Ovis aries: one gene and its partners. The protein of the gene in region 5 purifies or fractionates together with the protein of the main gene of each other region. This does not show direct contact. Links are inferred from orthologs where the notes say so. Each region holds a gene or a part of one and is shown on either strand. Other genes may lie near its edges.

What was found.
Region 1: the proteins of MTMR2 (region 5) and MTMR12 purify together in Homo sapiens (affinity purification with mass spectrometry; 5 studies listed by BioGRID and IntAct, with this or other methods). This does not show direct contact. The link is inferred for Ovis aries from reciprocal best matches to the Homo sapiens genes MTMR2 and MTMR12.
Region 2: the proteins of MTMR2 (region 5) and MTMR10 purify together in Homo sapiens (affinity purification with mass spectrometry; 5 studies listed by BioGRID and IntAct, with this or other methods). This does not show direct contact. The link is inferred for Ovis aries from reciprocal best matches to the Homo sapiens genes MTMR2 and MTMR10.
Region 3: the proteins of MTMR2 (region 5) and SBF1 purify together in Homo sapiens (affinity purification with mass spectrometry; 6 studies listed by BioGRID and IntAct, with this or other methods). This does not show direct contact. The link is inferred for Ovis aries from reciprocal best matches to the Homo sapiens genes MTMR2 and SBF1.
Region 4: the proteins of MTMR2 (region 5) and SBF2 purify together in Homo sapiens (affinity purification with mass spectrometry; 3 studies listed by BioGRID and IntAct, with this or other methods). This does not show direct contact. The link is inferred for Ovis aries from reciprocal best matches to the Homo sapiens genes MTMR2 and SBF2.

Annotation. Positions count from the first base shown.
Region 1 is NC_056069.1:41,495,993-41,501,819, reverse strand, and holds part of MTMR12 (myotubularin-related protein 12), read right to left. Parts: intron 4,757-5,827; coding exon 4,663-4,756; intron 1,038-4,662; coding exon 908-1,037; intron 1-907. UniProt on the Homo sapiens protein: Acts as an adapter for the myotubularin-related phosphatases. Regulates phosphatase MTM1 protein stability and possibly its intracellular location. By stabilizing MTM1 protein levels, required for skeletal muscle maintenance but not for myogenesis.
Region 2 is NC_056071.1:25,228,910-25,235,176, reverse strand, and holds the start of MTMR10 (myotubularin-related protein 10), read left to right. Parts: upstream 1-2,609; 5' UTR 2,610-2,813; coding exon 2,814-3,052; intron 3,053-3,095; exon of another isoform or gene 3,096-3,422; intron 3,423-3,588; coding exon 3,589-3,649; intron 3,650-6,267.
Region 3 is NC_056056.1:225,704,494-225,710,796, forward strand, and holds the start of SBF1 (myotubularin-related protein 5), read right to left. Parts: upstream 3,872-6,303; 5' UTR 3,714-3,871; coding exon 3,659-3,713; intron 1-3,658. UniProt on the Homo sapiens protein: Acts as an adapter for the phosphatase MTMR2 to regulate MTMR2 catalytic activity and subcellular location. Promotes the exchange of GDP to GTP, converting inactive GDP-bound Rab proteins into their active GTP-bound form.
Region 4 is NC_056068.1:42,587,503-42,593,329, forward strand, and holds part of SBF2 (myotubularin-related protein 13), read left to right. Parts: intron 1-266; coding exon 267-394; intron 395-1,543; coding exon 1,544-1,777; intron 1,778-2,888; coding exon 2,889-2,993; intron 2,994-4,387; coding exon 4,388-4,581; intron 4,582-5,241; coding exon 5,242-5,329; intron 5,330-5,827. UniProt on the Homo sapiens protein: Guanine nucleotide exchange factor (GEF) which activates RAB21 and possibly RAB28. Promotes the exchange of GDP to GTP, converting inactive GDP-bound Rab proteins into their active GTP-bound form.
Region 5 is NC_056068.1:13,956,231-13,962,534, forward strand, and holds the start of MTMR2 (myotubularin-related protein 2), read left to right. Parts: upstream 1-2,550; 5' UTR 2,551-2,709; coding exon 2,710-2,789; intron 2,790-4,149; exon of another isoform or gene 4,150-4,231; intron 4,232-6,304. UniProt on the Homo sapiens protein: Lipid phosphatase that specifically dephosphorylates the D-3 position of phosphatidylinositol 3-phosphate and phosphatidylinositol 3,5-bisphosphate, generating phosphatidylinositol and phosphatidylinositol 5-phosphate.

The DNA of each region.
Region 1 (5,827 bases), on a different chromosome or scaffold from region 5:
CCTTCTAATACACTGTCATTACTCTTAAGGGTTTCTTAAAAAAGCACAGGATCTATGTGGAGAAAGTGGAACCTCAATTGCTGTGGACAGGAGTGTAGAAATGGTGCAGGGGCTGTGGAAAATAGTCTGGCAGTTCCTCTTAAGGTTAAATGTGCAGTTACTATATGACTCAGCAATTTCACCCCTAGGAATATACCCAAGAGAACTAAAAGTACGTCCATATGAAAGCTTATACTCATGTTCACAGCAGCATATTCATAAGAGCCAAAAAGTGAAAACAATTCCATGTCCCTCAACTAATGAACAGATAAATAAAATACGGCACATCCACACCATGGAATATTATTCAGCAATAATAAAAGAATGAGATTCTGATATCTGCTATGACATGGATGAGCTGTGATAACATTTGTGTTCAGTGAAAGAAGCCAGGCACGAGGGCCACATTCTGCACAGCTCCATTTACGCGAACTGCTGAGGACAGGCAAACCTACAGAAACAGAAAGTAGATGAGCGGCAGCCTAAGGCTGGGGCGGGTGGGTGGGGATATGGGGGTTTCTGGGGATGATGAAAATGTTCTCAAATCAACCAGGGTGATGGCTGCAGGAGATGTGAGAAACGCAGGTTGGATCCCTGGGTCGGGAAGATCCGCTGGAGGAGGGCATGGCAACCCACTCCAGTGTTCTTGCCTGGAGGATTCCATGGACATGGGGCCTGGTGGGCTACAGTCCACGGGGTCACGTGGAGTCAGACACGACTGACTGAGCAGCTGAGCACACCCGGTTGCACAACCCTGTGAATGTGCTTTTAAAAACCACGATACACATCACGGGGATGAACTGACAAGGCACGTGAATTAAATCTCAACAAATCCGCCAAAAAGAAAAGCATGGTGCCGAGAGCTTACCTTTCACAGACTTTATAGCCTTCATTGACACTCACTGCCTTGTACTTCATGTTGCCTTTGGTCCGCTCCAGCTCCCGACACCAGTCCTGAAGTGTGTCAAACATTACGGCGTGCTTCTTGGGGTCCGTTGCTAACAAAACAAATGGAGAAAGACAGTAAAATTTTGTTGTGAAGCCTGGTGTTTTAACGCTGTGAAAGTGGCTCCTTGGGCCCCAAGTTCCTCCACAAAGCCCATTTTTATCCCTGCAGAATGAACTCACTGCTTCATCCTAACCTTGTTCCTTTCTTTCTGTCATTCATCCAAAATTATAAGCGAGGCTCTGTCTCTTTGTACCAGGGGAAAGGAGCTGTTCTCGTTCCATTCCTTGCAAAAGTAATTTATAGCTCCATCTGCAGTCATCTGACCATGAGATAATTTATATAACATAAAAAAGATCCCGTGAAGCACTAAAAGACTGGCTTGGCACAAATGCTAAAATAATAAAATATTTTTAGCCCTACCCATGTGTGCATAAGATGGCAAACTCATTTGAACAGCATGTCAGATTCCTGAGTCTAAAGCCTCCTTGCCAAGAAGAGGAGTCCTCAGTGTGACACCTGGCTCCTGAAAGCCACAAACGAAGGAGATGGCCACGTCGAGGGTCGGGGCCCATAGGCCAAGGGCCACATCTCGCTGATGGGGACTTCTGCCCCTCACCCTGCCACTCCCTGCAAGGAGCAAGGGCTCAGGAGTGCTGCTCACGCAGCCCAGCAGGTGTGCCCGTGGTCCTCCCCACAGCACCGCCTGATGAGGGTGACATGCACCAAAACACCCTTGGGTGGTCACACGGATCAGTTCGTTCCAACCTGTGCACATCTTTAAAAGCAAGCCTTCTGGGGAAAACAAAGTGTTAAATTAAATGCCCACCTGCTCCTTTTAATAAAACCACATCATAGTACAAAGAATGATAATACAAACAATGATTAAAAAAACAACAACAACAGTAGTGAAGCTTATATAGCACTTAGGATGCCAAGCACTATTCTGAGCACATTTCATGTGCTCAATCCTCACAACCCTACAGGGTAGGCAATATTATTTCCGTCATTCAGGCATGGCACAGAAAGGTCAATTAACTCGTCCAAGGTCACACAGCTAGGCAATGGCAGAACTGGAATTCAAACCTAGGCAGCATAAATTTCCCATAAGGTTAACAGATTCAAATAAACTTCCCCACAGACATGAGTAATACCAATATTCCTATTCAAGCATACTAGGTCATTTTCTTAGCAACACAGATAAGTTCTTTCCTAAAATGCCAGGTCACAAACATTTAGGACCTTTCAGCCAAAGTACATTTGTGTATTATTAAACCTGAGAAGAATGAAAGATGTTCCGATTGCAAAGCACCCATTTCTACAAACCCCTACACGATCAAAAAAACTGGTCCACTTGCACCTCTCAGTTATAACCTTTACTTTATCAAAAAAAGAAGGCTGGAAGGAGAAGAGAAGGATGCTGGAATTTGAATAGAACACAAGATGCTACACAGCCTGGACATTCTGGCACAAAAATAAAATCTCCATAAGGTAATGAAACTGCCAGGGTCAGTCAAGGTAAGGGTATTGGCACACAGATCGACACCTGCTGGGGAGCTGGGATATGTCCTGTGCTGGTCCAGACCAAGAGTCAGGATACAAGGGAGAGGCAGAGCTCCTAAAAACAGTATGATTTTCACATGTAGACCCAATAAATGTTTATACGAAGTACAGCAATCAACAAAGAGGTCGTATTTTGTATAGCTCATACTGCAACACGCTGTTGTCAGCCAGCACCCAGCTAATCAGCATGTACACGCATTGCTACCGTGAAAAGATCATTCACAGACAGGAACTTACTACATGACGGCACAAGGTTTGGGCTCAGACTACTAGTAGTGCTGAGTACATTTTCATGTCAGTGTAATTCTCTGGGCAGTATCTGCCCTGAATAAGCAGTTACACTCTCAATTAACCCTCACTCAATGACTGTACCCTATGTGCCGTGCATTTAACAATCTACAGTCTTCAAAACATTCATGGGAAGCATTAACACTACTGTTTTTTAAATGAGAAAACAGAGGCCTCAGGAGTTAAGCGCCATCCCCAGGGTCTACGCTACTAGGCAGCTGGACAAAGATTTGAACTCAGGAGGGACAGACCTGGAAATTCACACCTTTTCTTCACGATCACCACAGTTCCCCAAATGCAGCCTGCTCTCCCAGATAGCTTCATCTCTGCACACGCCAGTCTCACTTCCTCAAACACTCCTGAGTGCCGATACAATCTCCACCAGCAGCTCAGGCCCGACCTTTGCCCTCTGACAGCCCTCCCTCCCCAGCGTGGCTGGTCCCTTCCACCAGTGCACACAACACTCTGACTGGTTGCTTATTTCTTCTTCTGGCTGTGCCGTGTGGTGTTCAGGATCCTAGCTCCCCAACCAGGGATTAAACCCAGGCCCCCTGCAGTGGAAGCACAGTGTCCTAACTATTGGCCCAGTGGGGAATTCCCTGACTCAATGTCTTAGAGGGCAGAGATTTAGTCCTGTTCATATTTCCAGGGTGCCTGACCCATAGCAAGCATTCGAGAAACATTTACCAAGTGAGCAGCTGGTGACAAAGCAACTCTGCATTCCACAAAGCGTGACATGTGCAGGCAGGACACGTCATGTCCCTGAAGAAAAGCTCATGGCACACGGGATTGGTCAACACCAACTTCACGTTCAGAGTGATGGGCAGATAGGGACGTAATGTATAACATGACGAATACAATTAACACTGTTGTGCGTTTATGTATGGAAGCTGTTAAAGAGAGTAAATCCTAAGGGTTCTGACCACAAGGAAAAAATTTTTCTGTTTCTTGAATATCATGTCGATGTACGATGATGAACGTTCACTAAAATTACTGTGGGCATCATGTCATGACAATGGAAATCAAATCGTTATGCTGTGCACCTTAAACTTATACATGCTGTGTCAATTATATCTCAGTAAAACTGGAAGGAAAAAAAATTAAAATACTAATTTGGAATTAAAAAAAAAAAAGGAATGGGAAGAGCAAGTGAACAGATGGAGGGGAAAGATCCAGAGAAGGATGAAGACAAACATCTGTGGAATCACTGTACAACACTGGGCATTATTAATAGCTAGTTCAGATGACCACAGTTTCTTACTAAAAAGATTGCTCTCTTTTTCAGGGAACCAAATGGAAAACATTCGGAATTTCAAGTTTTCGAACCAAACTGGTTTTCAGATGTGCTCTCTTCTGTACAAGTGTTCTCTTCCCCATCCCCAAATATTTGCTATAAAGCATGTTCTGGCTGTTTAAAAACTTTCTAGAATGCAAGACATTTTTGTAGGGTCTTATGAAATGAAATCAAGCCTATGAAAGTGGAACAAAGAACCCAGGGACAGAAAGGGTAATTTTAAACTTGTCTCAATTTTCTTTCTCTATAGTCTCACATTTCCAATGACAATTTATTGATTTTAATCTTTCATAAGAACCCATCAAATAATCCTTCACAAAAAGCAAACAAACCTAAAAGATAAGTTAAAGCAACAAAGATCACAGGAAAGAAACAGAAACCTTTTTTAAAAGAAGAACTTTGAATCAATCACCCAAGTAAGAGGTGACCCATTGCTAGAAAAGATGGGGAAAAAAACCCACGGATGGGTTTTCTCCCATGAGCTGCAGGTAGGAACTGGAAGGGTCCTGCCTAACTGCGGATGAAAGCTTACCTGGGCTGTTTCGTGCTGCAGTCGCGTAGGAAAACAGAAACAATCGTTTAAGCAGTTTAGGGGCCTGGGTATGATGAATTATGCCACTGACAATCTACAAAGAACCAAGTAATGGATACAGTCATGCTTTTGGCAAGTAAACACTGAGAGACAAGACTCAAGTTGTCTAGGTTTTCAGTAATGCCCATGGGCTCCGCTGAGCAACATGCTAACTCTCATTGAGGTCTGTATCTGTGATATTATCTCTTGGAATAATGCCACACAAACAGAATGCTAACTATTTTGTCAGGTTTTTTAAGAGCTTTGAATTTCTAGGGAAATTTTTAAGACATAATCTAATTTATCAAAGACAAAGTGCTAAAAAAAAACTTAAGTGCCATATTCAGACACTCCAAAAATCTGACATGTCAAAAATGTAAAGTAAAAGAAAGTGAAGTCACTCAGTCATGTCTGACTCTTTACAACACCATGGACTGTAGCTCGCCAGGTTCCTCTGTCCATGGAATTCTCCAAGCAAGAATACTGGAGTGTGTTGCCATTTCCTTCTCCAGGGGATACCATCAACCCAGGGATTGAACCCGGGTCTCCTGCCTTGCAGGCAGACTCCTTACCGTCTGAGCCACCAGGGGAGTCTTTCTAAAGATGTAAAGCTGATATCAGATAATAATCAAGACACTGAGCTATTCTGATCTATGTGTTATGGCCTTAAGGATCTTCTTCTAGAAGACAGCCTTCCCATGGTGGCTGATGGTAAGGAGTCTGTCTGCAATGCAGGAGACCCAGCTTCAATCCCTGGGTCAAGAAGATTCCCCTGGAAAAGGGAACGGCAACCCACTCCAGCGTTCTTGCCTGGAAAATCCCTTGCCTGGACGGAGGAGCCTGGCAGGCTACAGTCTATGCAGTCGCAAAAAGTGGGACACGACTGAGCGACATCACTTTCTTTCTTTCGTTCTAGAAGATAAGGAACTCAATCTACCATGCTTTTTGTTTGAAGTTCCAAACAAAAAGTATATTTGGACAGATGATGAAAATCATCATTCAAATGGAAGTTTCTTGCTTCTTAGGGAATTTTCCGTATCTATACCACTTTTTTCTGCTCAGAACAAATACTGGGGTCATGTTTATTATTCTAACCAAACTCCCATGCTACCTGAAAGAAGATTAA
Region 2 (6,267 bases), on a different chromosome or scaffold from region 5:
ACCCACCACCCATCTCCCACTGCTCAGCTCTCTTCATTGTCTGCAAGCCCAGAGTGCTCTCACCAGAATTCTATCTTTCCTACTTGATCTTGGGCTTCCCAGCCTCCAGAGCTGTGAGAAATAAACTGCTGTTTAAGCCACCCAGTCTGTGATGTTTTCTTATGGCAACCCAAGCACACTAACACAATTAGGTATCTGAAAAAGTCCTAACATTTAGGGTAGGTCAAGACAAATCTGGAAATCAGTTTTTCAGTTTTTTAATTGTATGGTCACTTAATAGAGTTGTAGATCCTAAAACTTGTATGGCAAAGCCCAAGTCACAGTAAGCCATTTCAGCATAAAGATCCATACATTCCTTGCAAAGCGTGTGTGGGAAAACAATCCATTTTGTCCAGTTTTATTAAAGTATAATTGACATATATCACTGCACAAGTTTAAGGTGTACAGTTTAATGATTTGACTTGCATATATTGTAGAATGATTACTGCAGTGAATTTAACTGGCATTCATCATCTTACATAAATACAGTAAAGAAAGAGAAAAAACCAGTTTTTCCCGTTGTGATGAGAATTCTTAGGATTTACTCCCTTAACTTTCCCATATAACATATAGCAGTATTACATTATTTCCCTAGTACTTACTTTTCTTATAACTGGAAGTGTGTAGCTTTTAACCACTTCTCTCCAGTTCCTCTCTCCCACTTCCTGCCTCTGGGAACCGCAAATATGATCTCTTTTTTTCTGAGTTTAATGTTTTTTTTTTTAAATCTATTTAATGCGGACGAATCACAGACAATTCATAAAAAGGTGTTAAATGTATGTGTACAGCAGTATATGTAATACCTATAACTCAATGGACTTGATATTTTAAAGTACAGTTGTAGAACCCGAGCAAAATGGAATCATATGTCACTCAAACAAGTTAACCAGAAAGATCATTGGGGTTCTGGATCCAAGATAAAATTTTTTTTTAAAAAAGGTAAATTTTGAAGTCTTATTTAAATTTTGTTGTTTAGTCAATAAGTCTGTCAAGTTCTTTTCGACTCCATGGACTGTGGCCCACCAGGCTCCTCTCTCCATGGGATTTCCCAGCTAAGAATATCAGAGTAGGTAGCACTTTCTTCTCCAGGGGATCGTCCGGACCCAGGGATTGAACCCACATTTCCTGCATCACAGATGGATTCTTTACTACTGACCCACCAGGTTGTTGTTCAGTTGCTAAGTCGCGCCCAACTATTTGCCATACCAGGCTTCCCTGTTCTGCATTATCTCCCTGAGTTTGCTCAAACTAATGTCCATGAAGTCGGTGATGCCATCCAACCATCACATCCTGTCACCACCACCTCCTCTTGCCCTCAATCTTTTCCAGCATCAGGGTCTTTTCCAATGAGTTGTCTTTTCCCATCAGGGAGCCAAAGTATTAGAACTTCAGCTTCAGCATCAGTCCCTCCAGTGAATATTCTGGGTTGGTTGATTTCCTTTAGGATTGACTGATTTGCTCTTCAAGTGACTCTCAAGAGTCTTCTCCCACATCCAAAACTTGAAAACATCAGTTCTTCACACTCAGCCTTTTTTATGGTTCAACTCTCACATCCAGTGCATGACTATTGTAAAAACCATAGCTTTTACTATACAGACATTTGAGCCACAAGGGAAGCCCTTTAAATTTTTCAGTGTTTCCATTAGGGACACTTGTCAGAAAGATTGTGACTCAGATGGCCTCACTGGAGCTTCCCTATGGCATTAATTATAAAATGCTAATTAGAGATTTATTCTTTAAAACATAAGAAAAACCTAGTTTCAATTAATAATTTACCAAAATCTAACATCACCAGTCCCCTTCCACCCAAGGCGGCTCCAGTTCGGAAACATGCTAGAGTTCAGAAATGCCCTGGGCTTCATAAGCTGAAGGTAGCTGATTCTTTGCAATTATTTCGTCCATAGCCTATTTGGTCCAAACAGTTAAGGTCTGCCTCTCGCTGGCCTTTTTGATCATTTATCTGCTCACTGGTATTTTTACACGTGAGGATAGCCAAGAAAAGAAAGGAAGATAACTTGCTTAATATGGAGTTTAATAAAGAGGGTAGAAGTTAAAGTAAACAGAGGCGTTCAGGTTGCCTGGCAACGTTCTCTGTCAACAGCCTCAGTATCCCACGCAATTCAGCAGGACACCTGAGTCTCATGGCTCCGTGCACGGACAGACACACTGGGTGATGGAAGGCACCGCGCTGACCGTCTGATCCCGGTCACTGCCCGCTGCCCCGGGCCGCTTCCCCGGTGCCCGATCCTCACAGGCTGGCCGCAGACTGCGTGACCGGTCCATCTCGGGCTACAGGATCCCCTTTCCCCGCTCTGGGCTCCTCCTGACTACGGAAAACACCGATCGCGCGAGCTGGGGAAGTAGCGAGCGGCGTCCAGGGACCTGTCGTGATCCCCGCCGGCCTCCGTACGTCCCCATGACCCCCACGGATGGCCTCCGTTTCACACGCCGGCCGCCGTACGTCCCCGCGAGCCGCAGTGACCCCCGCGGGTAGCCCCCGTGACCCCAGGCGGCCGCCGTACGTCCCCTAGGCCGCCGTGGACCCTGCCGGCCGCCGTAGGAGCGCCCCCACTCCCGCCCGGGCCGCGCTCTCAAGATGGCTCCCGGGCCTCACTGCCCCCCGGCCCACTCACTGAGGGCAGGGCAGCGGCGCTCGGCACAAGCCTCGCGTTCCGACGCCGGCGCAGCCTAGAGGCTAGGAGCTGCCGGCCGCCGGCCCTGCGCGCGCCGTTTCGCGGGGCGGGGCGGGGCGGGGCGCCGGGCCCCTTCCGGGGATGGGCCCGGGCTCCTCCCCGCTCGGGCGGGCGCTCCGCCGTGTCCCCGCCCGTCAGCCCGCCCGGTCCGGCTGGCTGCAGACCGAGCCCGGGCAGTCGCACCAGGAGCTCTCAGCCCGCGGGCGTCGGGAGGCGGGTCCCGGGCTGCGACCGGGCCGGGCCGAGCAGGCGGCCGCATCATGTTCTCGCTCAAGCCGCCCAGACCCACCTTCAGGTCCTACCTCCTGCCGCCGCCCCAGGTAAACAGTCGTCTCCCCGCTGCGCCCTCTTATCGCGCTTCCGGGGAGCCGCGCGCGGGCCGGCCCGGGAGGCTGTCCCGGACTCCAGACTCCGGCCCCGGATTCCGTTGCGGGGAAGCCACGCTCCAGCGATCCCCACCATCTCGGGGGAAACTTGCAAAACTCCGCCGAAGCCGTTGTCGGCTCGGAGACGGAACCCCAGGGAGCGATCGAACCTGGATTTATTTAGCCCTTTGCCCAGCGGCTGTCCACGCTGTGACCGCCGGCGGGATTGCATCGCCTGCGGGCTTCTGGAGGGAGGGGTCACCTACCTGTCGTAAATGTGAACACCTTGAGGCACCTCAGGCGGTTGTACAATATTGTTTTTTAGGTCCGACTCCCAATACCTTCACGAACAGGAGTTTAGTAAAAATGTGAAAGAATTTAAGGGGGGGGATACGTGCCTGTCGCGTGTGATCACTTAGGAAAAAAATTTGCCTTCTCTCACGGAGTAGGGGGGAATTTTTATTTTGATTTGTTTTGCTAATGTGTTTCAGACTGACGATAAGATTAATTCGGAACCGAAAATTAAAAAACTGGAGCCCGTTCTTTTGCCAGGTAAGCATGAGAGTTCTGGCAGATATTTTATTTGACAGATACTGGCCTAAGATTATTTTACCAACTAGTATCATGTGGTTAACTTTACTCATTTACTTTAAACTTCAGCGAGTTAAACACCTAACAACTGTGGAGGGGGGAAAAGTTGGTTAGAACTAAAGGACAGCAACAAAAAGTAATGATTAATTGATGTTTGTCCTTGAAAATTGAAGTATCATAGAAAACTGTCAAGAATGTCATTACCTCATTTTCTTTTTGTCTCCTGAAATGTTCTTTTTTTAAGCACTCATGAATTGCTTAGGTAGTGAGAGGACACTGTCCTTCATACCCATCTGCAACTTCATGTGTTTGTGGTTAATAGATCATTTCAATAGTATGAAAAGCAACTTTTATTATGTCTGAGTCTCTGTACTAATAACAAAACTTAGTGTACTTTGAATCACTTACTTGGCAATTGTTTTTTTGAAGGTGTCAGCTGGCTGTGTTTGCAGATCTCCTTGTTTCAATTTAGAATGGAGTTTTCCAACCGAGACACTCCAGACATTTTGGGCCTGGTCATTCTTTGTTTTAGGGTTGTCTTGTGTATTGCATGCTATTCAGCATCATTCCTGGCCTTTACCCCCAGATGCTAGGAGCACCCCCTCCTCTACCTTTTGTGAGAACCAGAATGTCTTGCCAAACTGTTTTGTCAGGGGAACTCTTAGTGCAAAACTTTCTCTCTGTGGAGAAGCACTGGTTTAGAACAAAATTGACCTTAAATGACCTTAGAGGTATCAGTAAGAATTGATGGTAAATTGTTATATGCTTTAGTTTTAATGCATATAAGATATTTGTTTGACTGGTAGTTTGAATTGTATAGTAATTATATGATAGTTAGGAAAAGTCAGTTGTTTAACTCGATTATTGGGGAAAGTAACCAGAAAAGCCCATTTTAAACCTGAAATGCAATCAAATACCAGTCTGTGTGGCTACTATCAACATTTTAAAATCTCAGTCATTACTTAATTCTAAATCTGGTAAAATGACTAGAGCTCTATAAGTAGTAACTGAACAAATATGGAAACTTTAAATTTTGTGTTGTAAAATTTTAAATGTTAAGTGAAAAGTGAAAGTGAACGTTGCTCAGTCGTGTCCGACTCTTTGCGACCCCATGGACTATACAGTCCATGGAATTTTCCAGGCCAGAATACTGGAGTGGGTTGCCTTTCCCTTCTCCAGGTGATCTTGCCAACTCAGGGATCGAACCCAGATCTCCCACATTGCAGGCGAATTCTTTACCAGCTGAGCCACAATGTTAAGTAGAACAAACAAATTTAAAACATCAACCTTTGGTTCCATGTTACAGATGTTAACTTTTAAAATTGTTTCAACTTAATTATGGAAGTTAGTTATAAATGTTTTCTCTTTATTTTGTTAATGCTTTTTAGCCAAACTGCATGTACTAAATAATCCTTTGCACTTGTCCCCAGAGTGAAGAATAGAATTAATAAGTAACCTTTGCTCCTTGTGCGTGATCTGTTTTGGCTTTAGTCACTCTGGTCTTTTAAATGTCCCTGCGGCAAGCAGTGCTCATCCTGAATGAGAGCCTGTGAGCTACTGAACTTTGGCTCCTTTTGCTCTGACTGAGCAGGCCCTGTTCTTTGATTCCCTGCTTCCAATACTTGATTTGATTTGACACTAATAAACCACATGGTCTTAGCTACAAATGATACAGCTTGATTTTCAGTAATTAACTTCTGTGTTTAAGATATGCTTGTGAAAGTGTTGATACATATCAGTAAGCTCTAAGAACTTTGTGTGCTTAGTCACTCAGTTGTGTGCAACTCTTTTGTGACCCCATGGACTGTAGCCTGCCAGGCTTCTCTGTCCATGGGCATTTTCCAGGCAAGAATATTGGAGTGGGTTGCCATGCCCTCCTCCAGGAAATCTTCCCAACCCAGGCATCAAACCCAGGTCTCCTGCATTTCAGGCAGATTCTTTACTGTCTGAACTACCAGAGAAGCCCAAGAATACTGGAGTGGGTAGTCTATCCCTTCTCCAGGGGAACTTCCCAACCCAGGAATCGAACTGGGGTCTCCTGCATTGCAGGAGGATTCTTTACCAGCTGAGTTCAACTAAAAACTGGTTCAGTTGCTAAGTTTTGTCCAGCTCTTTACGACTCTATGGATTGCAGCACACCAGGCTTCCCTGTCCATCACCAACTCCTGGAGCTTGCTCAAACTCATGTCCGTTGAGTTGGTGATGCCATCCAACCATCTCATCCTCTGTTGTCCCCTTCTCCTCCTGCCCTCAATCTTTCCCAGAATCAGAGTCTTTTCCAATGAGTTGGCTCTTCGCATCAGGTGGCCATAGTATTGGAGCTTCAGCCAGCATCAGTCCTTCCAGTGAATATTCAGGGTTGATTTCCTTTAGGATTGAGTGATTTAAGCTCCTTGTAGTCCAAGAGACTTACCTTTCTGTTAAAAAGTCAGAGTTTTCTGGGGAAGATGGAAACCTGTTTCCTAACTGTCAGTGGTTTACTTGTCTTAGAGATCACGGCTCAATCTGGATCCTCTTAGCCATAGTAGCATTTTTTCTTTGGCTCTGTGTGTGCACACATGATGGCTTGACACCCAGCA
Region 3 (6,303 bases), on a different chromosome or scaffold from region 5:
TCCCGGAGCAGGCTCTGCCTTCAGAGAGCAGGTTTTCCTAGACCCAGAGCCCTCCCCTGCAACGACGGAGGTGAGGGCCAGCGGGGGCTGGGGCGCCGGCGGGGCGGTGAGCAGACCCCCACCAGCTCCTCCCGAGCCACGCCAGCCCCAAACCTGGCCCTCAGGCCTCAGCCCAACGACCATCACCTCCTCAAGCCAGCTCTCTGAACCCTGCCCACGCACAGGGGCTGCGGTGGGACCCAGGAATCTCCCACCCCCCAGCCACTGCCTTCTGGGGTTCCTGGGGCACCTGCCAGCCAGAGAGGCCTCCAAGAAGCTCCATCCTGCACCCGCGGCCCTCGGGCTAACCAGCCTCGGCTGCTCCTCCCACCCCACGGGCAGACTGGCTCCTGGGGGGACGTGCGGGCAGCTTCCTGAGCCCCAAACACACCGGGCGCGCCACGGGCCTCCCCGATGCCCTCCCCCTCCTCTGAGACCCCAGCCCACACCTCCACTCTGTGCCAACAGGGGCCCAGGTGCAGCACGGCTGCGGGCCTGCATTCTGGGGATGGAGGGTATTTGCCACATTGCCCAGCACCCTCACCAACCCCAGCTCCTGAGGCCACGGACGGGACCTCGAGCAGCTGAAGCTCCTGCCCCACCTCGGGTAGACAGAAGGGAGGCGCCCCTCCCACCCGTGACAGGACTAACGCAGACAGCACAGCGGGGCCCGGGAGGAAGGACAGAGGCCCCCTGGGACACAGGCAGTGCAGTGCTTCCTCCTGCAGCCAGTCCCCACACAGCCAACCCCGCGGGGGGAACACAGAGCGCGCGTCTGTCATCCCCAGCAACGCCGGCACCAGTGCCAGGCTCCGATGCCCGGGCCAGCCCAGGCCAGCAAGTGCTGGGGGCAGAGGCGACGGGAGGGTGGCAGCCTGCTTGGCCACCCCCCCACTCAGAGCTCACGCCCAGAGACCAGCCCGGCCGCCGGAAGGACAGCACCCTCCTGCTGGTCCACACCCCAGACCTCAACACAGGGCCCCCCACCACTCCCCCGAGGCCACAGCGCAGGACTCGGCAGAGGGGCCGCAGCCTCTCCAACCTGCCGGTCAGACAGGCCTGGCTCTGACCCGAGGCTTTGGACCCTTTGGGCTCCCAGCCCCGACCAGCCCAAACAGCTCCGACCTGCTCCAGAAGAGGGGCAGGGCCATGGGTGGGGAGAGGTGACCAGCTCAGCGCAGTCAGGAGTGAGGCCAGGGCTGGAGAGCCCTCTCCTCAGACAAGACCACCATGGCCAGGAAATGGGCATGGGGGGGGGGCTCTCTGGCCCCCATGATGTCCCCAGAGCTGGGCCAGGTTGTAAAATATGCTAAACCTAGGTCCTCAGTGAGGAGCGCCCCCAACTCATCAGCAGAGGAGCCTGCAGCCTCTGAGATGAATGGAAAGGTCCCACCCCAGCCCCTCCCTGCCCTGCTACCTAGAGCCTGCTGTCAGGTAGCCCCACAAAACCAGGATACTCCCTCAGGCAAGGAAGATGTCCAGGTGCCAGGCAGGGACAAGGCCCCACCACGCCTACCCTCTCCACTGAACCCAAAGGCCCCGTGGCCCTGGGCTCGAGGCCGAGGCCTGCCAGCAGGCAGGGGCCCTCCAGCTCCAGCAAAGGCGCCCACTGCCACGAGCGTCCACACATGTGCGGCTTGGTGTTAACAAGACACCCGTCACTTCCTGGAGCTTCCTGTGTGAGCGCGGCGTGTGTGCATCCCCCCCCCCCCCCACCGTGCTCACGGCAGCTGGCGGGGAGGCCTCTGTGACTCATCCCGCCACCAGAAGAGGAGACAGCGGCGCAGGGGCCGAAAGACTGGCCCGAGGTCACAGAGGCACCGAGAGGCCAGGCCGGGGCCTCAGGCTGCGCGCCTCTGCTGCAGCCTGGGGGCTGGCTCCTCACAGGCTGGACCAGTCCTGCCAAGGAAGGCCCTGAGGCGAGGTGGCCAGCCAGCAGGTGGCCAGCTCCAATCCCAGAAGGTAGCGGTTAGGGGGTTCCACGGCCCCCAGCCCTACTGCAGGGGACATCTTAAGACTCACTCCTTCCCGTCACTCAGGGTGACAGGCACTGTGGCACCGACCTTCTCCCCTGCCCACTCAGAGGCCACACGCTCTGTGGGTGCCCGCCGCCAGCTTGCCGTGGAGCCCGCCGAGGCTGCCTCTCCTCCCCTGACACGCACTCCAGCTGCCGCCACCATCAGCATGCCTCCCCGGCTTCTGCCTCCTCAGCCTCCCCGCACAGCCTGCGGCGACCTCAGCCCCCCCTGCTTATGCAGTCCCGGGACCCTCATGCTGGGGCCGCACCTCACCCAGCCCGGTCGCCCCAGACCCTGTGCACCCCCTGCCGCAGGGCACAGCCTTCTCGCTGCCCCACCCCACGGGTCCTGGAGAAGACAGCTCTCCGTCTGGCCTGTGGGGCACTCACAGCCTCCACGTGCAGGCTGCACGCGAGGACGACTGGTCCCGGCCCAGAACGCCGTCCCTGACACCGAGGGTGTCGGGCGGACAGGACGGGTAGAGGCCCCCCGTGTGAGAGGGAGTGAGGAGGGTGGGGCCCAGCAGGCGCAGGCTCCGGGAGAGGCAAGGCAAGGAGGGCGACAGCGGCAGCCAGGGCGTCAAGAAGCAGGGTAGAATGGGGGTCTTGACCCCACCCTCAGGCTCCAGGCTCAGCCCCAACCTGACCACACAGCCGTCCCCACCACCCCAAAGCCGCGCCTGCCCTCCTGCAGCTGGGGTCTGAGCCGCAGCGAGGCTCTGGGCGAGCCCCGGCGCGGGTCCCACTCCCTCTGTAGTGGCTCCGACCAGGCGCTCAGCCTCTGCCCGGACTGCAGCGTTCGGATGGGGGCGACGACGGAGCCCTCCGCAGGCTGCCGGGAGGAGGAAGCGCACTCGTGCACGCAGGGGCAGAGCAGGGCCTGGCACACGGAGTGCGCTCCCCGACGCCGACGTCTCCGCGGCCGGTGCTGATGTCATCGTCAGGCTTTTTCCTACCCCCTGGGCTGGAGGGTTCTCAGACACAGGTGGTGATCCGAGACACGGAGCCCCCGGCCACGGGCACCAGGCCGCGCTCTCACCCAGGCTTGGCGGGCAGGCCCTTGGCCAGGAACACTCTTCTCTCTCCTCCCCACAGTTCTTACCGATGTCCTCCGAATTCCGGCTCAAACGCCGCCTCTCCAAGAAGCAGTCCCTGAGCCCCAACCCTGTCTGCACGCCCCCAGCCTCCTGGGCCTGAGACACGGCACAGGGGCCACAGGCTCCAGGCCGGCGGCCCCGGGGGTCAGAGAAGGGGCTTGCAGCCGGCTGAGCGGCCCGTGCCCCTGGAGGCAGAGCCCTCCGGCGGCCGGCCCCCGCGAAGGGAGCCCGTCCCACCCATCTGGGAGGCGCAGGCCGAGCCGCCCGGGGCCCTCCCGCCTGCCGGCGACGCCGAGGCGCGGCCGGGCCGCCTCTGCCCTGACGGCGGCCGGCGAGCGCGGCCCGCCCCGTCACGCCGCGCGGCCCACGTCGGGGAGGCCGGCCCCCGTGACCCCCGACCCCGGGTGGCCGGCCCGGCGCAGCGAGCGCCCGGCGGGCCCGGGGCCGCCCCGCCGCCCCTTCCCGGCCCCCGGCCCTCGGCCCGCGGCCGCGCGCCGGCACTCACCGCGCGGGTGCGGCCCGAACGCCACCAGCACGAAGTAGTCCGCGAGCCGCGCCATGGCGAGGGGCGCGGGCGGGCTCCGCGGCTCGGGCACGCGAGGGCGGCGCGCTCATGGCCCGGCCCCGGCCCCGGCCCGCGCGCCCCGGACGCTCCGGGGTAGGTTTGCGGCGGCCGCCAGGCTTTGCGCCGCCATCTTCCCAGCCCGCCGGCCCGCCCGGCCGCGCCGTGCGCCTGCGCGCCCTCGCCCCGCCCCGGGAGGGCGGGGCACAGAGCGGCGCGCCCTCATTGGGCCTCGCCCCGGGTGGGAGGAGCCCGAAGAGGCGCACCCTTATTGGGCCGCGCACCAGGGGGCGGGGCTCCGCTTCTCCCCGCCCCCAGGCGGTGACAGGGACGGCGGCTCCGGGTCGCAGGCCCGCTCGGCCCGGGTGGGAGCGCGCCCCGCGGCCGCGGCGCCCTCGCAGGCCGTGGGGTCTCGGGTCCTGCCCCGGGCGCTCTCAGGCTCGGGCCCGCGCGGCTCCCAGGGTCTCCCCGCCCGCGCTGTCAGCCCGGAGGAAGACTGGAAGGCGCAGTCCTGCGCACGGGCCTCCGGGACTGGGAGGGGCCCTGGGACGTCCCGGACGCCGCCATCCTGGCAAGGGAGGGGGCCCAGTCAGGCCTGCCCTTGGGGTTTCCTGCCTGAGGAGGGCTCTGGCCCCACTCGGGAGCCCGGTCTCAGTGAGGCGAAACGCTTAACATCAGTTCAGTTCAGTTCAGTCGCTCAGTGTCCGACTCTGCGACCCCATGAATCGCAGCACGCCAGGCCTCCCTGTCCATCACCATCTCCCGCAGTTCGCTCAGACACACGTCCATCGAGTCAGTGATGCCATCCAGCCATCTCATCCTCTGTCGTCCCCTTCTCCTCCTGCCCCCAATCCCTCCCAGCATCAGAGTCTTTTCCAATGAGTCAGCTGTTCGCAAGAGGTGGCCAAAGTACTGGAGTTTCAGCTTTAGCATCATTCCTTCCAAAGAAATCCCAGGGCTGATCTTCTTCAGAACAGCGCGCCGCACACCCTGCTGTGAAAAGCAGGGAGCAGGCTGCCCTGCTGAGGTTCCCAGCAGTGCCTCCCACCCTCGGGCCCTGCATGCCACACGGATGGGCAGGAGGGACTCAGAGTCTCGGGCAGACACTAGGAGAGGCGTCACGCGGTGGGGGGGGCCTCGGGGCTGCCGCTGACTCGCTGGGACGGGGAGCTCGTTTCTGGATGAGTGTGGCACTTTGAGAACCTGTGAAGGAGCAGACTGCTGACGGTCCTGCCCGCCCTCACAAATGGGAGCCCCGAAAACCCAAGCCAGAGAGGGCTGAAAGAGGAGACCACTGGGCCCCCGCCCTGCCCTGGGCACAGGCCTGTCACAGCCTCTTCTGCTGCTGTTGAGTCCTGGGATGAGAACCCCTCCTTTCTGCCCCGGCTGTCTGAAGTTGGTTTTTCTCACTTCTATCCCAAAAGGTCCTGGCCACCACTGCCACGCCACTGAGCTCATGCATGGGCAGGCAGTGTCCCTGGCAAGCCCTCTGGCCTGGCCCCTGAGCCCAGGACAGGCTCTCCTGCAGAGACGGTGGGGACCCTGCCCCCTATATTCCCCCACCCTTGGGCCCTGTTGCAAGGAGCCCACTCCCTGAGCCGTCTCAGAGGCACTTTAGGGTCAAGGGTAGGGTTAGGGTCACTTCCAGAGCATGATACCCCTGCTCAGCTTTCTTGCTAGCACCCTGTACCTGTCCCCCTCTGGGTGCTTCCTCCCTTCCTGAGGGTCTGCGCCTCCCCACCCGCAGCAGGCGCGCCCTCTCATTTTGGGGCCCCTTGGCTCCCTTTCTGTCCTTTCACCCCCACCTAGCATGGCTCCAGTGCCCGTCACCCTGCCAACACCCTCGCCCCCACCTCCCCGACTAGCAAATCCCAGCCACGCACAGTCCTGCCCACCCGTCTCCTCCAGCCTGTAGCAGCATCTGGTGCAGAGTGACCCCGCACCGTGACACCCCGGCCCCAGCTGCAGGTCACTGCTCTCCCTGCCGCCCAGCTAGCCCACATCTGGCCAGTGCGCGTCACTCTGCAGTTTCCTCAAGCCTCTGGCGCCCCCTCCAGTGTCGCAGAGATGGCCCTGCTGGCCTCCTTCACAGAGAAAACAGACCTGCATCACCCCAAGTCTGGCCCTCACCCCCCCCCCCCCCCCCCCCCCCCCCCGGCCGCAGTTACACAGAGGCTCGGCCCCTCCTGCCCCCTGCCCTCCTCTGGCTGTTTGCTGTCGGTGCCCTGCCTCATCTTTCCCTCTCTAGGATCCTCACCATCAGGATCAAGCTCAGTCTTTCCCACCTTAAGACACTCAGACAAAACCTCACTAGACGCGTCTACGCAGCCAAAGCCGCCCTGGCTTTTCCTGCCCCATGGACACTCTCCAAAGCATGCCTCCGCGGCCGCCAGCACACCGCCGCCTGCAGTTCCCTGGGCCGCGTCTTGTTTGTCTCCACGGCCGAGCAGTGCTTGGGTGGCCAGCCTGCCATCCCCAGAAGTGGCTCTGCACTGAGCACCATGGGGGAGGCCTGTGGGTTTCCCCTGGGGGAGCGGCACACGCACAGTCACGGACGACAAGCGCCAGGGGCTGTGCCCCGCAGAGGC
Region 4 (5,827 bases), about 29 Mb from region 5:
TGATGTATTGCTAAATACTTGGGAAAACTTCAGCACATGTTTTCCTTCCATTTGGATTTGTTTCCATATAGCTGTGAAGCCCATTCCTATCTTTAGCTTTGCTACAGTCCTTTCCTATCTCCTTAGTTATTTTCTAAGGTTTTTGCCCATGCAGTGATGTTTCTAGAGCCATACAAAAAGCTCCATTTTTCATCTGCTACATGCATCACATTATTAAGCAAACTGTTGATTTATTTGACTTTTGTTTTGCTGATTTTTTTTTCCAGGAACTTTATTTGATGATAAAGGAGACAAGCATGCCAAAAAAGGAATTTGTATTTGGGAGTGTATTGATAGAATGCACAAGAGGAGTCCCGTTTTCTTTAATTATTTATATTCACCAGTGGAAATAGAGGTAAAGAAAGCAAGCATTTATGTTGCATTTTTGGAATATTTTTGTGTTGAAGTTTTCCTTACGTTGAGCGTATATAAGCTGTTTAAGCTTTTTATAAACATTTGACTAGGTTTCATACCAGAAGTTATTTCAAAGTTGATACACTTTGGGTTTAGATTATGATGCAATGAAGTCTGTTACCAAATTCTTGACCAGAAAAATTAGGAGCTGGCCCCCTAGACATAGAGAGGATAACTTCAAGAAACTCAGAGCAAATCAACTTGCCCTGGAAAGGAGAACAAACAAAACTTAAACCCTCAGCATACTGTCTAAGCTGAAAAACCTAAAGTACTTCAGAAAAGACTTCCCTAAGTCCATTCATACCAGAGCCATGGAAGAAACCCTATGAGAAGCAGGAAGGTTGGAGCCCAGCCAAGAAAGTTGACTTCTCAGGGACAGCCATGCTCTGCCATGCCCGTCTACATGAAATAGGCTCTGCAGTGGAGCGGAGCTCTCCACCACCACTCACGGGCAAAAAGGCCAGACCCTGGGCCCCAGAACAATAGGACCCCACCTTGGCCTTTCTCCACATGCACCCTCCTTATGAGGTGTGTGAGAAACCAAGGGTACATGCTCAGATGCTCCTCCTTCATCTAGACCACACTCTGGTACTTCAGAATTCCTTGCCCAAATTCAAATTACTTGCCAGACCACTTCCCTAAGCCAGTAAGTACACTCCTAAGCCGAAGGTCCACTAAGGAGTAGCATTTGTCAGGGAGCAGACAGTTCATCTGCAGGGCTGGGGTATACGTGCCTGTTCGTAAGAGACCTTCAGAGTGCAGGACAGAGCTGAGCCAGGAGCAGCAGAGGTTTAGGCCAACAACTGGGAACTGGGACCAGCCTCCCCCAGTGCCGAGGAGTCTGAGAATTCTCAACTGAAACCTGGCCTTCTAGGTCGTTTGGAAGTTATATTTGTCAGGGTAGGAGGATGGAACACACTTTATCTAATAGTTATATTGATGTGTAATGTTTAAATATATAGACATATGTAATGAGAACCTCTGTTCATCCTCTTCCCTGGACCCTGCAGTGTCGGGGGCTGGCCTGCCTGTAAGCTTGGGCTACTTTGAGGTCAGGATAAAACTACATTTCAGAATTTTCTTCAAACAGGCCCTGAAGCCAAGTGTAAATGTTTCCAGCCTCAAGAAGTGGGATTACTATATAGAGGAGACGCTTTCCACAGGGCCCTCTTATGACTGGATGATGCTGACCCCCAAGCAGCTGCCCTCCGAAGACTCTGAGCTGGCCGGAGGAGCCAGGCCCCAGAGCCAGAGGAGAACCGTGTGGCCATGCTACGATGATGTCAGCTGTGCTCAGCCCGACGCTCTCACCAGCCTTTTCAGTGTAAGTCAGCCACGCAAAGCCAGACTCCCAAGGCTCTGGGCCCCTGAAGGCACGAGAGGCCTCGGGAACCTGGCTGAGTGAAGCCTGGTTCACCAGCTCCTGGCTAGCATTCTTGCCAGCACCGTAGAACATGTGGAAACCAGACCGGCTCCCCAGCATCCCTGGAGATCCAGGCACAGGGACTGGAAAACAGTCTCAGTAGAAGGGAGTTTTTCATCATTACGAGGAAGCATTCAAGCAAGTAGAACAGTTCGCAGCTTCCCGGCTGTTTCATCTGGCCAAGAGCCGGAGTCAGGCCTGGGTTATGACTTCTGTGGGTGCCTTACTTCCCCCGGTCAGAAGTGTGGGTAGCTGATGGTCTGATGGGAGTACTGCCAGCCGTCTTCTGCAAGTTATATTCTGGAGTGAAGCCACTCTGGCAGTAACCCCCATGAGGAGAGCAGCGGCCCTGAGGGAAGGGTTTGAGCCCTGACACAGGCCAGACAGTTCCTGAAGAGCCTTCTCCATTCAGTCTTCCCACCAGGAGAAGCGTGTGCGAGAGCGCCGTCACAGAGGCCGCTGCTCTGCTCTCAGTCTCCCTGGCCGAGGGAAACGCCAGGCTTGGGCATTTCTTGGTTCATTCTCCCTACATCTGGTTTGAATCATCAGAGTCAAGGGGTTTCTCTGTCCAGGACAGACTTCTCATCTACCTCAGCTATTAGGGTCTGGACATAGGCCTAGTGCTTGACCTTTTGCTGTGGCCATCAGATTTCCTATGGGCTGGCCAAGGGTGAAGGTGTTCGGATACAGATTTCATCTCTCTATTTAAGCCATCAGTACAAAGAGGCCCGGTTACAGATCCTAATAAATTATCTTTGCCACAGTGCATCACACCAGCTAGCACTCCCGCCACCACCATTTCTGGCTGGGAGGCCTCTGAGGCCCTGGGCTCACTGCTCAGAGGAGCTGTGGCTCTGGGGAGCATCGTGATTTCTGTGAAAGACTTGGTTGGCCAAGAAGTTCGTTTGAGTTTGTCTGCTGTTATGGAAAAGCCCAAACGAACTTCTTAACCAACCCAATACTTAATCTGTAAAAAAAAAAAAAAAAAAAAACCCTTTTAATTTCTCTGTAGGAAATTGAAAGACTGGAGCATAAATTGAACCAAACCCCTGAGAAGTGGCAGCAGCTGTGGGAACGGGTAAACGTGGACCTTAAAGAAGAGCCCAGAGCAGACCATGTGAGTTGGCAAAGCCCTTTGAAGAGCTGCTGCTGAGCTTCTTGAGGGCACTGGGTCAGCTGGGGCCTCTGCCACTCGTAACCCAGGACGTTTATGGCCAAAGAGAGGGGTCATGCCTTGAGGGTCCAGGGCAGAAATTTCCAAACGACCGAGTACTTCCTGAGTGTCTCACTCTACCACAGTGATATGATACTTATGTTCAGTGCCCTAAATCCGGGGGAAATTACTGGGTTTTTTCTATCTCAGCACCTCTGTGGTTTCAGCTGGTCTTCTGCCACAGGAGGGGAGGGAAGAAGGGAATGCCAAGATCTTGTTGGCTCCAGAGAAATAGGGAAAATGAAATATTTTAAAACAGTAAAATATGCCACTCTCTGTTGCTCACCCCCCCCTTTTTGTTTCTAAATTAAGAAACATTTACTGTAAAAATATTTTAATACCAAATACTCCATTTTCTGCTTCTCACCACCCCTTAAGCTGTAACATGTGGAATGGGCTGTGCTGAGCCCCTGAGCATCCACACCTTAGCGTCCTGTTAACCTGCAGTGAGGCAGTGGCGTCCAGCTCATGCCTGCAGGCTCAGGCCCAGAAAACACGGCTGATACACAGGGAGGCCACCGGCCAAACCCACAGCAGGTCGGCTCCAAGTGCAGCAGAGGGAGGTTAGGACAGATGAGAGCACTTGAGGAAAGGAGAGGTGAGCAGGGTCAGATGTCACAGAGGGGTCAAGGAGAATGGAGTATAGAAGAAAATGTCCTCGGACCCTATAAGAAGGGGTCCTTGAGGCGCCATTTTTTGCCTGCAAGTGGCAACTCAGGGGCTATTATCAGACAGGCCACAGGTGGATGAAGTCTTACTGCTTTTTTTCTAAGAATAAAATAGTTTGTTAATTTTTTTGATTATGAATATGAGATATATGTATTCCTTTAAGTATGTATTTCCTTTATAACACAGGAAGTTATAAAATAGAAATCACCCAAAATTTATAACATAGAAATAAACCACTATGCCTTCAGACTTTTAAACACATATATAAAAGGGATTTACTATAGACGTAGTTTTTAAACCTGCTTTCTTTTTTCCTTAATATATGGCATGCGTGTCCTTCCATTTGTCGCATATAAATCAGCATCCTTTGTAACAGCTGTCTAGAATTCCGTTGTTCAGAAATTTTTTTTTTTTTAACTAGCCCCATAATGATCAACATTTAGGTACTTTCTAGTTTTTCGCTATGTTAAAAAAAAAAAACTCCAAGGTAAGCATCCTTTTATACATATTTTATATAGACATAAATATATGATCCAGTTTCTTTCTTGAGGTAAATTTTTAGAAGTGAAATTACCAGATTAGCTACTTAAAGTCTTTGTAAAGCCTTCCTACCTCCTGTTCTTTTTCAGCCCCAGAGATACCCTTCAGGATCCCCAGGAACTGTGTCCACCAACCTCCCTTTTTATCAGAAGAGGCCTCAGCTCCACCTTCCAGAGAGCAACGTGGCAGAAGAGCAGAACACTGGTGTCCCCCCATCCAACGGGGTGGACCGCAGAGCAGCCACGCTGTACAGCCAGTACACGCCCAAGAACGACGAGAACAGGTAGATGCTGTGAGCCCTTCCAGGGGGTGCAGCAGAGGCTCTCCCAGCCCCCCTCGAATCAGCTGGGCCTAGGCCGTGCCACGTCTATCAACTTAAAAGGGATCCGCTTTAATTCTTTGTTTCTGTTTTAAATGTGGTAGATGGTTCTTGGAAGAGGAAAAGTCAAAATTATAACTAAAACAAGGCCGGAAGGTTGTAGTTTTTTGTGGCGGGCCCTACTATCTCCTATCTGCCTGGTCTTTTGAGGGAATGTGTGTTAGTGAGCACTTCTCCAGTGGCAGACTTCTGAGATCCAGCACATGCTCGACCAAGCAGAAAGGAATTTACTCACATGAGGTGAGAAGGCCAGGATGCACCAGTTTCTCACAGTACCTTCAGGCTTCTCTCATTCACCAGCTCTGCTGCCTGTACAGGCTGCGTGAACCCCAGCGTGGTACAAAGGATGGCTACTGAGAGCTCCAGACCTCACAAGCTTGGCAATCCCAGCAGAATGAGGCAGTCTTTCCCTGAGAGTCTAGTAGAGGAATTCTGGGGGGAGCTCCGACTGATCTTTTTTGGATCATCTAGGGGAAACAGAGTCTTGACCAACAAAAACAGCAGATATTGCCTTTACAGCACGTAGTAAAATCATATTAACCGCCATGTCATCATTACTTCTAGGTCCTTCGAGGGAACGCTGTACAAAAGAGGGGCTTTGCTGAAAGGCTGGAAGCCCCGTTGGTTTGTTTTGGATGTAACAAAGCATCAGGTAATAAACACCATCACAGCCTGTAGCAGTCACTTCTCCCTAGGCGAGGCTCCGTCCCTGGCTGTTGTGTGACTCCCAGCAGACACGCAGAGCCCCCATGCACAAAATGCTTCCCTGAGGCTTCTCACCAGCTACCTGTGGGCTCCTCTGTGGAGCCAGTGAGAGGGCACCTAGCAGCCCTCTGAGAAAGTGCGGGTGTGTGCAACAGAGGCAGTGACCAGGCGCCCAGAGCATCAGGAGCAACAAAACTCTGCTTTCTAATGCTCATGCATCTCCTGCTGCCTGCTGTCCACAACCAGGCCGGGGGAGGACCTCAGGGTTTCAGCGTATTGCGTACCACATGCATACACAGAGCCCATGCCTGTGAACACTCTCCAGAGCACAGATCACTTCATCTCGACAGCACAAAGCATCCATTCAAAGTCAAGGGTGTTAATTTATTCAACAAACATTTCTTGAACACCTTCTCTGTGCCCATCCCTGTACTAAAGAAGGCAT
Region 5 (6,304 bases):
AAGGGAAACAGAATGATGAGCAGTCATTTTTTTCCCTACCTGGTTTATACTTTCCATACTACCGTTACCATACCAATCATTTCTTCCTTCTCAACCTCCTCCTCTCTTGTAGCTATCATGTTTGAAACTGTGTTAAAAACTGCTTATACACACTAGTCCATTTCATCCTAACCACCCTTACGGAGAGGGTAGTAATACTACTTACATTTGAGGGCTTTTTATGTATGAAGTATTGTTGTAAGTGTTTAACATGTAGCAAATTTGGAAAACTTGGCAGTGGCCACAGGACTGGAAAAGGTCAGTTTTCATTCCAATCCGAACGAAAGGCAATGCCAAAGAATGCTCAAACTACCGCACAATTGCACCCATCTCACACGCTAGTAATGATCAAAATTCTCCAAGCCAGGCTTCAGTAATACGTAAACTGTGAACTTCCAAATGTTCAAGCTGGTTTTAGAAAAGGCAGAGGAACCAGAGATCAAACTGCCAACATCTGCTGGATCATGGAAAAAGCAAGAGAGTTCCAGAAAAACATCTATTTCTGCTTTATTGACTATGCCAAAGCCTTTGACTGTGTGGATCACAATCAACTGTGGAAAATTCTGAAAGAGATGGGAATACCAGAGCACCTGACCTGCCTCTTGAGAAACCTATATGCAGGTCAGGAAGCAACAGTTAGAACTGGACATGGAACAACAGACTGGCTCCAAATAGGAAAAGGAGTACGTCAAGGCTGTATATTGTCACCCTGCTTATTTAACTTCTATGCAGAGTACATCATGAGAAACGCTGGACTGGAAGAAACACAAGCTGGAATCAAGATTGCCAGGAGAAATATCAATAACCTCAGATATGCAGATGACACCACCCTTATGGCAGAAAGTGAAGAGGAGCTAAAAAGCCTCTTGATGAAAGTGAAAGTGGAGAGTGAAAAAGTTGGCCTAAAGCTCAACATTCAGAAAACGAAGATCATGATATCTGGTCCCATCAGTTCATGGGAAATAGATGGGGAAACAGTGGACTCAGACTTTATTTTGGGGGGCTCCAAAATCACTGCAGATGGTGATTGCAGCCATGAAATTAAAAGATGCTTACTCCTTGGAAGAAAAGTTATGACCAACCTAGATAGCATATTCAAAAGCAGAGACATTACTTTGCCGACTAAGGTGCGTCTAGTCAAGGCTATGGTTTTCCAGTGGTCATGTATGGATGTGAGAGCCGGACTGTGAAGAAAGCGCAGCACTGAAGAATTGATGCTTTTGAACTGCGGTGTTGAAGACTCTTGAGAGTCCCTTGGACTGCAGGGAGATCCAACCAGTCCATTCTGAAGGAGATCAGCCCTGGGATTTCTTTGGAGGGAATGATGCTGAAGCTGAAACTCCAGTACTTTGGCCACCTCATGCGAAGAGTTGACTCATTGGAAAAGACTCTGATGCTGGGAGGGATTGGGGGCAGGAGGAGAAGGGGACGACAGAGGATGAGATGGCTGGATGGCGTCACTGACTCGATGGACATGAGTCTGAGTGAACTCCGGGAGTTGGTGATGGACAGGGAGGCCTGGCGTGCTGCGATTCATGGGGTCGCAAAGAGTTGGACACGACTGAGCGACTGAACTGAACTCATCTAATCTGTGAAGCTGGTTTCCTGTTTTACAGATTAAAAAATTAATGTTCCATGCCTTGGATTACACTGCAAATAACTGAGAGAGGCAGGATGTGAATCCACTAACTTTAAAGTAGGCTTTGCGTGCTTAGTCGCTTCAGTCGTGTCTGACTCTGCGACCCCATGAACTGCAGCCTACCAGGCTCCTCTGTCCATGGGATTCTCCAGCCAACAGTACTGGAGTGGGTTGCCACTTCCTTCTCCTAAGTGAAGTCGCTCAGTCGTGTCCGACTCCTTGCGACCCCGTGGACTGCAGCCTACCAGGCTTCTCTGTCCATGGGATTCTTCAGGCAAGAATACTGGAGTGGGTTACCATTTCCTTCTCCAGGGGATCTTCACGACCCAGGGATCGAACCCAGGTCTCCCGCATTGGAGGCAGACGCTTTAACCTCTAAGCCACCAAGGAAGCCTCCTAAAGTAGGCTTTAATTATGATTTAAGGAACAATTACTTAATCATTTTCAGCTCTTGACATGATGAGTATTTCGCCGTCTCACCTCTCACAGCCTCATCCTTTACGCGAACCTGTGTTCAGGTCCTCCCCTCCTCATCCCCCACGTCCCTCTGCCTCTCATCCTAGGGTTTGCCCACATCCTTTATTATTCTGTTCTCTTCCCCGACCCCCACATTCCCGTCACAATCGTCCCCGTCCTTAAGGTCCTTGTCTTCAGACCCTCGTCCGTAGTACTCGCTGCTTCATTATTTTTGAAACGGCCCCTCCTCCTGCAGCCCCGGCTCCCGCCGGCCTCAGAGGAGCCTCGGCCCTCAGGCGCCGTCACGCGCTCCGCGGCCCCCGGCGGCCGCACGGGGTGGCGGCGTGCGAAGCGCGCGAGGGCGGGCGCCCCCGGGGCGCCGCGGGCTCCTCCGGCTCCCGGCAGCGCCCGCGCGCGGTGCAGGCTGGGGGAACATGGCCGCTTCCGGTCTCCCTGCCGGGCCGGCGCGGGCTTGAGCGCGGACCCAGCCCGTCGCACCCCGCCCTCCGCTCCTCCCGCCGGGCAGCCGCGGAGGTCGCCGCAGGCTTTTCCTCCGGCTGCCCCCGCGCCGCGCCATGGAGAAGAGCTCGAGTTGCGAAAGCCTTGGCTCTCAGCCAGCGGTAGCACGGCCGCCCAGCGTGGACTCCCTGTCCAGGTAACCGGGGCCCGCCGAGCGCCCGAGGGGGATGAAGTGGAGCCCGGGACCCGCTGGACGGGGCCCCACGTCGCGGGCTCCGGGACTGGGAGGCTGCGCCGGAATTCCTTCCCTCAGGCTGGGCACCTCTTCTTTCTTCCTCTCTGCGGGTTAGATGCTGGGAAAGAGGAGGTTAAAACTCTGCGGTTCTTCATCGGTCTTACCTTTTGTATTCTGGTGTTTTTATCTGCGGTCGAGAACGCCTCAGTCCTCTACATCCTCTAATCTCTCATTTCCCTTTAATTCATTTTTTGGACAGCCCTTCCCCAACTCTGTCCCCTCCCCCCTTCTCCTCCCTGCCTTTCTCCCTTGACGACTCTTCTGAGACCCTTCTCCAGTCTTTTTTCCATCCGTCTTTCAGTCTTGGGTTTCTGGCTTCTTGCCCACCCTTTCCGCTCTTTCCCGTCACTTATTTTAAGGTTTCCTTGCATTCTGATCTTCCCCCCTCCCCCCAACTTTGCTTTAAAATGTGAGTACCCACACCGTGAATCTTCCAGCTGAACGTTATTATTCCTGAGTAATGAGTGGTAGTTTTCGTTCTTCCTGGGCTACCTACCGGTTCTCCAGGTTTCCATCTTGTATCAGCTGGGATTTTTTTCCCCCTGGAATTTTGAGGAGGATTTTACTATGTAGCTTTTCGCAGGGCTGGCGTGAATATTAACTTGACGTGTTTCAAAGGCAGGTTTTTCCTGTTGTTTTAAAATAGTAAATTTTATTAAGCAATAGGAAGACCTGTATTGTTATACTGCTACATTGAAATCAGGTTCTTTTCCTTTGAAAAAGTCTAGTTGTTATTAGTTATTAGATACTAAATCGCTGTAAACTAGCACGTTTCATTTTTTTTCCCGTGAATAAATTGGAATTATTATTATTACTAGTTGCTCAGTCGTGTCCGACTTTTTGCGACCCCATGGACTGTAGCCCGCCAGGCTCCTCTGTCCATGGGATTCTCTAGGCAAAAACACTGGAGTGGATTGCCATTTCCTCCTCCAGGGGACCTTCCCAACTGTACATAAAGGATACTTCATTAATGTGCATTAGAGGATACCACAGGTTAACTGTCATAGAAAACTGTCTCTTGAGCCTTTAAATTCTGTTGCTCTCTTTTAATTCGTTTTGGACTCTGCTAAATATGGGTGATACTCCCTTTTTTTTTTTTTTTTTTCTGTTGCTGTTCAGGACCTCATTGGGAAGTCAATCATTACTTGATCCCACCTTTCTTTATTAGATTCTCTTCCTAAATGTGTTCACAGCAACCTGCCCAGCCCTTTTACAGTGTTTTTAACAAGCACAGTGTTGGTTTAATTGTCTTCTCTACTAGACTGTCAGCTACTTGAGGACAAGGATCATATCGTATTGGTTTTCATATCACCATCATTTAACAGAGACCCTGCCTGTCAGAGGTGCTTAATAAATTTTATTTTTTGAATTTGTAGTTTGAATTATGCCGGAGAGTGATTTTGCATTTGATTATATACCACTAGTGTGCATTTGTTTCAGGTGCTTTTTAGGTTTATTGCTCTGAAATTTAGGTCTTCCCTGGTGGCTCAGAAGGTAAAGAATCTGCCTGCAATGAAATTTAGAAGACTGGGGGATTTACACTCAGCTGTAAAATCATTCAGAAAGCAGGCTGGAAAATTATAATTTTACGGGAAAGTTACAAATGGCAACTATGGCTCAGGATAGATAGAATGTAAAGAAAACAAATGAGACAGCTGAAGTAATCTCATCCAAGGGAGGATCTGGAACCACAGGAGGCAGCATACTCTTGTTAGAAAGAAGTACTGGCTGTCAGGAGGCTCAGGCTCTTTAGACCTAGGCTCAGTTTGTCATTTGGCCTGTCTCATTTAACCTCTCCAGTCTGTGGTTTTTTCATCTTTTGAAATAAGGCAGGGGGAAGGGAGAGTTGATCTAGAACATCTGTAAGGTCCCTTTAAGCTTTAAAAAATCTGTCAGTTCTGTATCTTAATGATAATAACCTTTGTTTTGAATTTTTGAAATTACACTAAATGTTTAAATCACATAACTAGGTTAGTTTTGCCAGTTAAGCACATTTATTTAGTAAAAGAAAAAGCCCAACAACTTGAAAGTTTATATGTTTATATTTTAACTTCTTAATGAAACATTAGGTTACATATGAATATGGGAAAGTTAAGAATTCCTTGAATTTTGACTGGAGTTTGTTGGCTTCATCCTCTCCAGACAAAACTATAAGTATGGCTCTACTTTCACAGGAAAATGCCAGCTTTCAGTCCTGTTCTCTAGAAAAGAGAAAAATAATATTTATTGATTGTCTATAGAATTCATCCTGCTAAATTCTTTCATATCTTTTATTTTGTGAATAATTACACCTATTTGTGGCACTCTCTTTAATCAACATTATAGGATAGCTGGATTGTAGACACTTGTTAGAAAGCTTAATTTTATACTTAATTTAGGGTCGCAGTCAATCATAGGTGCTTCTAATACAGAGGGAGGGTAGACAACTATGGTTAGTTACAACAGCAATGTTACGTAACTACCCAGATTAGGTTTACTACTTTTGTTATCCTATGATTAAGTGAAATATTGGTGTTTGAACTGTATTATTTCAGGCTTTTGCAGAACTCTCATTCTTAAATTGTAGTTCTGCTTTCGTTTTATACAATTAGAAAATTCTCATTTTCTTATTTTCAGTTAGGAAAATTGCTTTGTGAAATTACTTTGATATCTCTTGCAAAATAATAGTTAATAATTCTATTCAGTGTATTACAGATTGTGATTTGCACACTAGATTACCAAATTTCTGCTGAGTTTAGTTTCAAGGGAAATTTTGGTTATGTTTTCTATTTGTTTCAAAATGGAAATTATGTAGCTGCATCTTCAATTCGGCAAAAAGTCTTCAGTCAAATTTATAACTGAAGTTGGTAATATATTCATCTTTAATTCCTTCAAATACTCCTACTATTAGATGGAGCCAGCTTAAATATTATGTTTAAATGTGTTAATTTGTAAAATGTTTTATACTCTTCTGGGAAGTAGGAAAAATATAAATCTGTAAAATAGTACTATAACCCTTGTGGTTGCCCATTGTTTTTTGGAAAATGACACACTCAATTTAGGTTGAGTGATTGGCTCTTGTGGGATCTGTGGTTCACACTAAATATATGTTAGTTTTAATATCTATATATCCACAATCTATGTATATCTATAAATCTGGAGTCAGCTCAGGATTGCTATTGCTTCTAGCTTTGCCTTCTAGGTCATTATAAGCCTTATATCTTTGTTCACAGAAGAGCAATTTCATTCTTAATATGATATTTAGATAGTAGTTTCTATCAGCTACAGCTGATTAGCAATTATGTCATCTTGCATGCTTAAGCTAATTTTCTTTGGTGAGTCCTGCTTGGTATTGCCTACTTGAGTGAGTGGTTCAGCAGCTCTTGTATATCCTGCTGTTGCCTTCATCACACATGTCCTGCCCCACAGAGAGAGCG